Linked DNA regions of Nothobranchius furzeri. The main gene of each other region encodes a partner of the protein of the gene in region 2 in a complex. Links are inferred from orthologs where the notes say so. Each region holds a gene or a part of one and is shown on either strand. Other genes may lie near its edges.

Region 1 (4,614 bases), on a different chromosome or scaffold from region 2:
GGTGTGCAACGGACAGGATTTTATTTTACATTCTGAAATGTTCAAATATCTGTTTTTATTCAACAACCAGAACTGATTGAAGACAAGACTGAATGGCAAAAATAGAATTTATCCATATGAAAAACTAGATCTCAGGAAAATAAATATTCCACAGATGGATTCAGCAGAATTAATGACGGATTTTATCCTTTTTCTGGTGAAAGGCAGCGAACATCTGAAAGTTTACGTTCAAGTACTTCACCGACACCGACGTGGCAGATGTGTGCTTTCAGTAAGAGGACCTGCAAAGTGCAGCGTGGCTCGGCGTTCCGCGTTTGTGAGACGGATTCACCTCCAGGGAGGTCGGCATCGATCTACAACGGGATCCGATCGGAAAAGTGGAAACAAAACACCGGAGAATGGAAAAAGGTGTCTACCGCCAAAGGAGGTGGCACCCCCGCCACGCCAGTAGCTGTGTGTGTGTGTGTGTTTGAAATGAAGTGGTCCGTTTAAACATTCCCTCAAGTGCTGCTAAATGACTCGACTAAATCACCCCTACGACGACACGAGCCCACATTCCGAGTCAGTCCACAGACTTGTTTACCTTTTGAGACTCTGGTGCTGCTGCAGATCACGGCGCTGAACGTGGAAACCCGACGAGCAGCGAACCTTTGTAACATTCAGTCATTACAGACGTCGGCTGTTGCAGTTTGTCAGAAATAAGTTCTGCTGGGAAGTTTTAGAGCGACATCTCTAAAGGTCACCGACAGAACAGAAAATACGTCTTTCATGGAATTTACCAAGAATTAAACACAAAATTAAATTTAGATTACCTCAAACTTTGGCGATTTCAAGAAATCAACAAAGCAAACGGTGCAAAAAGTGTCTAAACTACAAGAAATGATCTGAAATGAGGCATAAAAAGTTTTTGTTTTTTGAGATGAACCCACCAGCGGTGCTCTGACTCTCCTGTATGAAAGATCAGAAGAGGACCGAGCCCATGACTGATTGTGAGATCTTTCCTGACGAGGTGCAGCCTTGTCTCCACGTATGCCTCCTGCCAACATTTGGCAACTTCTTTTGTCGCCGCGGATACAAAGGAAGCTAAACACGGTTCTACTCCAAGGATCTGGCAAACTCTGCATAGTCTATGTAGCCATCATTGTTTTTGTCGTCGTCCTTCAGGACGTCATCGATTAGTGCAATCAGGTCCTCCTCTTTCATCGGCTGGCTGTTCTCTCCTCTCTCCTGCAAGACAAAGTAGGACCAGTTTATTAGGAGTCTCGTTCCCATAGAAACCATGTCACTGTTTTTTTTAACAAGGTCACTGAGTCACACATACATGCTGAATGATCCCCATCCTGCAGTAGTCGCAGGCAGGAGACTGATCAGAAATAGCCGATCTCTTGCACGTCACTTGAAAAATTCATGGCCCCGCCCACCTTGGCTTGAGACGGAGGGAGCTAGTAGAAGCTAACCATTAGCGTTAGCAGCTCAACAACATGGCAGAACATGTTGGCTCTTGTATTATTTGTGGAGATAAAACGTTGTTGCATTTTTTAAACCAAGTAAATATGTTTTATGGTTTTTTTGACTTTTGAAGGCAGCAGACGTCATGTTGCTGTTAGCCAATCAGAGCTGAGATGTTTGCATGTAATAAATAATAATGAGCAAGACTTGTAATCTGATGTTTTTGGGTGTTTTGCTCTCATTACACGTAAACACAAGATCATAACACCCAGTTACACGGTCTGTTGCCTTGGTAACGGGGTGTGTGTGTGTGTGTGTGTGTGTGTGTGTGTGTGTGTGTGTGTGTGTGTGTGTGTGTGTGTGTGTGTGTGTGTGTACGAACTAGCCTCTTTAGTTGTGGCGCAGCTGCTGTGATTCTTAAACATGTTTTACAAGAACGTTTCTCATCAGAACAACATTTATATCATCTTGTTATGAAAACTGTTCTTGATATTATAACACGCAGGTCCTTTCCCTCGCACTGACAGGAAGACGCTTCCGTTTTGGACAGGAGAGGAAAAACAAACCTGTGGAGCATGGACCTACTTCTTTGTGTACATGCGTGATGGCTGTGGCTAGCTCCAGACCGTCCAAAAGGTTGTTTCCATCGTAGTCGTGCATCTTAAAATAGTGCAGCTGGAGTTCCTGGGGCGTCATGTCTTTCTCAGGTTTGTCTATCACTCCCTCCAGATGCTCCATGATGTGACTGATGACACAGAGAGAAAAGCAAACAAAACCACAGCTTGTATTTGCACAGAGTCAACACTATTTGTGGTTGACGGCAGCAGAGATCACTGCCCTGAATCATCGGTCAGCGTGCCGGAGGCATCACTCACTCCTGGTCTTGGACCATGTTTCTGTCCAGGCGACTGTGACCAGATATGCGAGCTGCCCCTTCTATTACAGGTGGAGGCTGGTGGTGGTGAGGAGCCACCTGGGACTGAACATGCAGCTGACAGCAGGCCAGGAGGAGGAGCAGAGCTCCCCAAGACAAGCTACGCCTGCAGCTTCTCATTCTGTGATGGATAAAAAGAGACATAAACAAAAAGATGAATTCAGTTACACATCCCCTGGGACTGTAATCACACCTGTGCGTCATGTTTCAGCCGTGTAACAACATCAGGTAACGTAAACATAAACAAATCACAAAGAAGTGTGCGAGCTTAAATAACAATCACGTTTCTCTTTTCTAACAGGGAGTATGCCCAAAATGAGCGAAACAACGAAATAACGCTAGCTTATTGGCTACCATAAGGATGTTTTGTGTTTGTTTCACGGCCGTTTAAATAAACAAAGCTTGATAAAAACGTCAATAATAACCAGACTTGTTCTGCTAGAGTTAGTAAACACACGACGTTGTTCCCACCTTTATAAAATTCGCGTCTCCGCTGGGAACGCTTGTTGTTTTCAGTCAGTCGCTGTTAGCACTCTGAGCATTTACGGACCAACTGGCTTGCCGTAGAACCTCTTGTACACGACATCTCAATTGTGATTGGTCAAAGAAAACAAAGATAAAATAAGTAAAGTAAGATGAATCACTACTTAACGTGGGAATTCATCAAAAGTACAAACACAGCCCGTCTTTAGCTTAACGCCACTACAGTGCTTTACTGTAAGTGCGTCAGTTTAAAGCATCAGAAGATGGATTTTTGTTTCATAGATAGTCTAAAATCACTTTAAACGAAACATAACGTAGTAAAACAAACTACACGTGTTTCTTATATGTTGTTCATATTTGAAATCACTGACAAGAGTGAACAACATTTAGCTTTCTCAGTGAAAAGTCATTTATACACGCTTGTAGAGAGAGTCGTGGTTATTTATGGAGTGTTTATTTTTATGTTTATGCATTTAGCAGACGTTTTTGTCCAAAGCGACTTAAAAGTGAACTATCTTAATGAAATAGACCAGCTTTGACGTGGCCTCACGTCAAAGGTGGGCGTGAATCCGCGCTGCTCAGCTGTCAGATTGAAACGACGCAGGGAAAAACAAACACTCCTGTGCGGTGGACGGCTGGGAGGACTGGCAGGCTCCTTTTGTGTCACGCAAATGTCAACCTTCCAGAGAGAAAGCGATGCATCCAAGTCCCTGTTCAAGATGCTGGAGGTTTTTGTTCATGTCATAAGTAGCTGATAGAGTCTCAGTAGTGGACCCCCCTCGTGTTTTAGTTCTGTTCAGCTGCTGGTGGGTTAGTGGTTTCCTGATCTTGACCTTAGCTTTGACCCCAGCTGTAGCTCCTGGTTTGTTCTTCTTTGGACTAAAAATATGAAAAATGTATATATAATAAATAAATAAACGTCCACAGACTTTACTGCTTTTCTCTGCAGCAAACAGTTCAGTTCAAAGTGAAGCAGATTGTTATTTATTTCACCAGTCTTGAAAATAACACGAATTCCAGATCAACAGAAAAATAAAGATTAAACTAGTCTGTTTTGTTTTTGTTTCTTTGAGCTTTTTTGCTCTTACTATAGCAAAATTCTTATTAATAGGAGGAAACTGCTCCAAACAAACTCCCCTCATTTGCATGTATGCAGGCAGCTTTGCTGCAGCTCTAAGCCATGCCTGATCCAGTTAAAGTGTTAATGGAAAAAAGATTAGGGACCAGTTTACACTCTGCCTTGAGACAAATCAAATACCTCTGAAGGGTTTTTGTTGTTTCAACAGATAAACTACAGACAGAAGACACTAAACCTAAATAAAGGCAATGACAAATAAAATGTGATCAGATAAAAAATAAAGTATTAATATTATTATTATAGAAATATCCCTTATTGACAAACGACATTCACTTATTTTTCTACATTTGCAGAGTTGACAAGTTGAAAATGATCCTATTTTGTTTTACTGTAACACCAAAAGGAGTTTACACGTTCACAACGCCACTAATAACACAACCCTTTTGGGAAATCCTCTCTGGTTCACGCGCGGCTTTTCTACGTATTCGTCTTGGTCTCATCTTGTGAAGTTGCACTGGAATCACACATAAAATAATATCATAACAACTTGTTAAAATACTCTGCAGTATTTACCCAACACGTTGAAATGTGCCCAAACTGATTCCATCTGAAATGTGTTTTACGTGTTTAGAAATGTCACTGATCATACCTTTATTATGTAATGCAATAA
Region 2 (3,817 bases):
TTTAAGAGCAGTGGAGCGACTTTAGAGGAGGTGGATTATCAGGCTGACAGACACCTGCGATGTTACAGCCACAACATCCTGAGATTAAATATGATTTAAGAGATTTATCCTGCAGGATTTCCCTTGTTTTTCTCCGATATAACGGATGTCCCGTTATGTTTGCTGCAAAAACAACAGCTAGTTTCTAAAACCAAGCAAACTGCTGTTTTTTACCTCATCTCATTGAGGATTCTGACAACCTCCTGCTGTGTAGCCACGATGGAGCTCAGCTGCTGAGTGGCTGGATCCTGCTGGGAGAGAAGAACAAACACGGGTCAAATGAAGAACTCTTCTTGGTTTATGAAGTCACTAAACAGCAAAACACAGAAAAACCTGCTATTGTTAAAAGTCGGCTTGCCGTTTAATCCCAACGTTTTAACAAGAGGAAGTTATTTGTGTTAGTTTGTTTCCTGGTGATGACATGCCCACCTGTCCTGACACGGCGTTTGTCCCCTTCTTTGCCAGTTCATCGCTGACGATGGTAACGTACCGCCGCTGCTCGTCCAGGATCATAGCAAGGTTCCGGTTGACCTGTTTGATCTCCAGATGGATCCGGTTCTGACCTTCGAACACCTGTCGGATCTCCCGGTCGCTCGCACTTTCATACAAATCTTCAACTTACATAAAAACAGATTTAAGAAAATATAAATAAAACAAAGTTCTGGTAAAAACTAAAAACACAAATAAGAAAAAAAAATACATCTAATATGTTTCTTTACAATACAAACTTAAACAAATCAATAATATAAATTATAAAACAAGAAGCAGTTCTTGTCGATGAGTTTAGTCCAGCCAACATAAAATTAAAAACAAACACAGGATTTAAGGAAATTGAGGCTAAAATCAACATGAGCATTAGACTGAAGAATTATTTGATGAAATAAAATAATTCTGAGTCCAATTCTGATGGCTGCAGTAAACTACATAGGTCATGACTTCTGCCATATCAGAACAGTAGAGCTCTTTAAAATAGGACCTTAATTACAGTTTTATCTGAGCATCGAGTGATTTTTGCAAACAGAATCATTTCCATTACAAAGGTGTGATGTAGCAGAGCTCATTTCCACCCCGTTTTAAAGCCTGCCGCACACGAGAGCAAACTGCTGAGCAAACGGCCTCGAATGACCGTTTGCTCAGCAGATACCTCGCTGTGTGCGCCGGATTTTCTCAGAGTTTTCCACCTCACGAAACGCTGAGGTGAATATCTGACCGGTTTGATATGGTACACCTGACGGTGGACCGTGTGCGCACTACGTGAGCTGCTGGCTGAGCTGAAATATTCTAGTGGCCAATCAAAGCGTGTTCTCCGCTCCCAAAATCGCAGCCCCCTGTCTGCATGTCAGAAAACAAACAAAACGAAGACAGAGCTGGAAACGGAGGATATGCCTTTACTTTTCTGTTGATGAGGCGTCGCCGCCACCATCATTTCAAGGTTAGGAGAGTATGGGTATGGTGGCTGGAAAGAAAGGACAAGCAAGGCGTTTATGCCAATCTACTCCAAGAGATGCGCCTTGAAAACCCAGAATCTGACAGTACCGTCGCCTGGATCCTGGAAACAGTGGGCCCATCGATCCGCAAGGTACCGTTTAATTTTTCTGACATGCAGACAGGGCAGGGGGCTGCATCTGAATACATCATGGAATCATGTGAGCGGAGAACACGCTTTGATGGGCCACTAGAATATTTCAGCTTTGCCAGCAGCACATGGTGAGTTTTCACCCCCCGTGAGGTGGAAAATATCAAACTGCTCAGATATTCACCTCAGCGGAAAACTCAGTGAAAATCAGGCGCACACAGCGAGGTATCTGCTGGGCAAACGGTCATTCGAGGCCGTTTACTCAGCAGATACCTCGCTGTGTGCGGCAGACTTAAGACTCAAAACAATATTAATGGTAGCAATTATCTGCTTTACATCTTATTTTATACTTCATATCACTGCTGTCTGTATGAAAGTCTATTAAAGCTTATATGATGTGGGTCGAAAGTGGAACTGCAAAGCTTTCTTAAAAATTGGAGGAATTGCGCTTTAAATTGTAGCTAAAAGGTTTAAAAAGCTAAACTGTTTAACCTGCAAAAGAAGAACATTTTGAATCTGCTATCAGGATGTTTTTGTCAGGACTTTCTTTGGGTCGTAAGACATAACAGGAAACTAACTTGGCTCTCCTTGGACATCCGGGTGCTCCTTTTGAAACTCTTCTTTCTTCTTATCCAGCTCTTGCTGGAAGTTTTGAAATTCCTCCTGGTACTTGTCCTTCTCTTCTTTAGGAATCTCAGACTCGACTGGAGGCTTCAATGAGAATCACACACGCAAGGAGCAGGGGAGAGGAAAAAAGTGAATTTAGTCAAAATTCCTGTAACCTGTAAACTGTAAACTGGGACGGAGAGCCGTAGTTACCGGTTGTTGGCCTGGTTCTGAGAGTCTGAATAATAAGAAGGACAACACATCGTGGTCATCTGACGGAGGCAAGAAACGCGATTAGAAAATCACAGGAAAGAGTAAAACTCATGAAATAACTGTCTAGATAAATACAGGGTTAAAGTGTATTAGTGAGACATATGAGCACGTTTCTGCTGCTGCACTAGTTTAGCCGATTCATTTTGTTTTTCAGAATAAAGATAAACAAATTTTAGATTCACTAAAAATGAAGCGTGGAGCTGAATTTAAGCATTCAGATTAGGAATGTTCCAATCATGCTTTTTTGATCCCGATCCAATCCGATTCAGAGTCATCTGATTTGAACAATCTGCCGATACAGATTCCCGATTCGATACTTTAGAAATGCATTAAGAAAAAAGGACAACACACTGAAGTTGTCCTTTAAGTTTTTTTTATTCATTAATGCATTTATATATGTAATTTCTGTTAAAAAATCACTTGATTAGGAATTACATTAATAAAAACGCGTTCAGTACAAGAATAAATGTTAAAGTAGCCTAGTTGTCGATCATGTTTTAAATCATTTGCTCGGTGAGCGGCTGTTTTCTGCAACAGGGATGTCACGGCACACGACTGTCAGCAACAGGGTCACTCCGTTCTACAGAACACCTGTAGAGTTGCTGCGTCTGTAAAGTTAGGGAGAGAAGGCAGATCATACCGCGACTCAACCCCAGACGCTCATCCAGTGTGATAAGTGTGCTGCTAGCTTGGCATTTAGCTAATTCGAATTGCTGCAGCGGACTGAGCTGGGTCCGTTTTTTAAGATGGCGCATCAGCTTCGTAGTATTGAACGCAGCACTACCTTTCAACCACATGAAATGCCCAGTTTGCACACATTACACGAGTCTATTTCACTCCTTTTGATGTCTGTTTTAAAATACATCCCAATTACAGACATTCTCTCTCTCTTAAGGTTACAAGTATGTGCTATGTTAGCTAACTGCTACATGTTATGGTGTGTGAATTCCCAGACTACCTTAAACTGTGGGACTTTACAGCGTTGTCTGTGAAACAAAGAATAGTGGCGTAGAAGAACGTGTTTAATTTAAAACTAAGCTGTTGTTTTTCCATTTGAAAATCTCTTTAAGATAAATTTAAAAAGTAATGTTTGTTATTTAATAAGGTTAAATCCGATTTTTCCCACCCGATTCTGATTTCCTGAAAACCACATGATCGGATCGGAGCATCCCTAATTTGGATAATAAAAACACAGCTTTTAAAACTAAGACAGTTATTTTTGTAGGTATGAATTATAGATCGATACCTGCCAAACCACCAGTAGCAGCTGAAATACCAAAGAAGCCTTCAGAAGGAATAATCATGTTTTCCACCTTTGTGCAG

The links.
Region 1: the proteins of lman1 (region 2) and mcfd2 are in contact, whole or in part, in a cryo-EM structure (PDB 8JP5), measured with the Homo sapiens proteins. The link is inferred for Nothobranchius furzeri from reciprocal best matches to the Homo sapiens genes LMAN1 and MCFD2. Residues at the interface, in NP_005561.1 of Homo sapiens: His43, Arg44, Arg45, Phe46, Tyr48, Lys49, Ser51, Phe52, Lys53, Pro55, His56, Gln59, Ser60, Asp61, Val64, Pro65, Phe66, Trp67, Lys96, Phe265, Glu273, Lys279, Glu280, Ile281, Glu285, Lys286, Tyr289, Glu292, Phe293, Phe296; in NP_001164977.1 of Homo sapiens: Val59, Ile60, Asn61, Lys62, Gln70, Glu71, Leu74, His75, Phe77, Lys78, Tyr82, Asp83, Asn86, Asp89, Gly90, Leu91, Glu92, Thr95, Thr98, His99, Val100, Leu111, Glu114, Leu117, Ile118, Ile121, Asp122, Leu125, Asp129, Lys130.

The regions. Positions count from the first base shown.
Region 1 is NC_091752.1:7,128,829-7,133,442, forward strand, and holds the start of mcfd2 (multiple coagulation factor deficiency protein 2), read right to left. Parts: upstream 3,010-4,614; 5' UTR 2,855-3,009; intron 2,612-2,854; exon of another isoform or gene 2,505-2,611; 5' UTR 2,504-2,504; coding exon 2,325-2,503; intron 2,195-2,324; coding exon 2,035-2,194; intron 1,228-2,034; coding exon 1,096-1,227; 3' UTR 1-1,095. UniProt on the Homo sapiens protein: The MCFD2-LMAN1 complex forms a specific cargo receptor for the ER-to-Golgi transport of selected proteins. Plays a role in the secretion of coagulation factors.
Region 2 is NC_091746.1:58,648,563-58,652,379, forward strand, and holds part of lman1 (protein ERGIC-53), read right to left. Parts: coding exon 3,741-3,817; intron 2,494-3,740; coding exon 2,435-2,493; intron 2,327-2,434; coding exon 2,194-2,326; intron 657-2,193; coding exon 469-656; intron 291-468; coding exon 214-290; intron 1-213. UniProt on the Homo sapiens protein: Mannose-specific lectin. May recognize sugar residues of glycoproteins, glycolipids, or glycosylphosphatidyl inositol anchors and may be involved in the sorting or recycling of proteins, lipids, or both.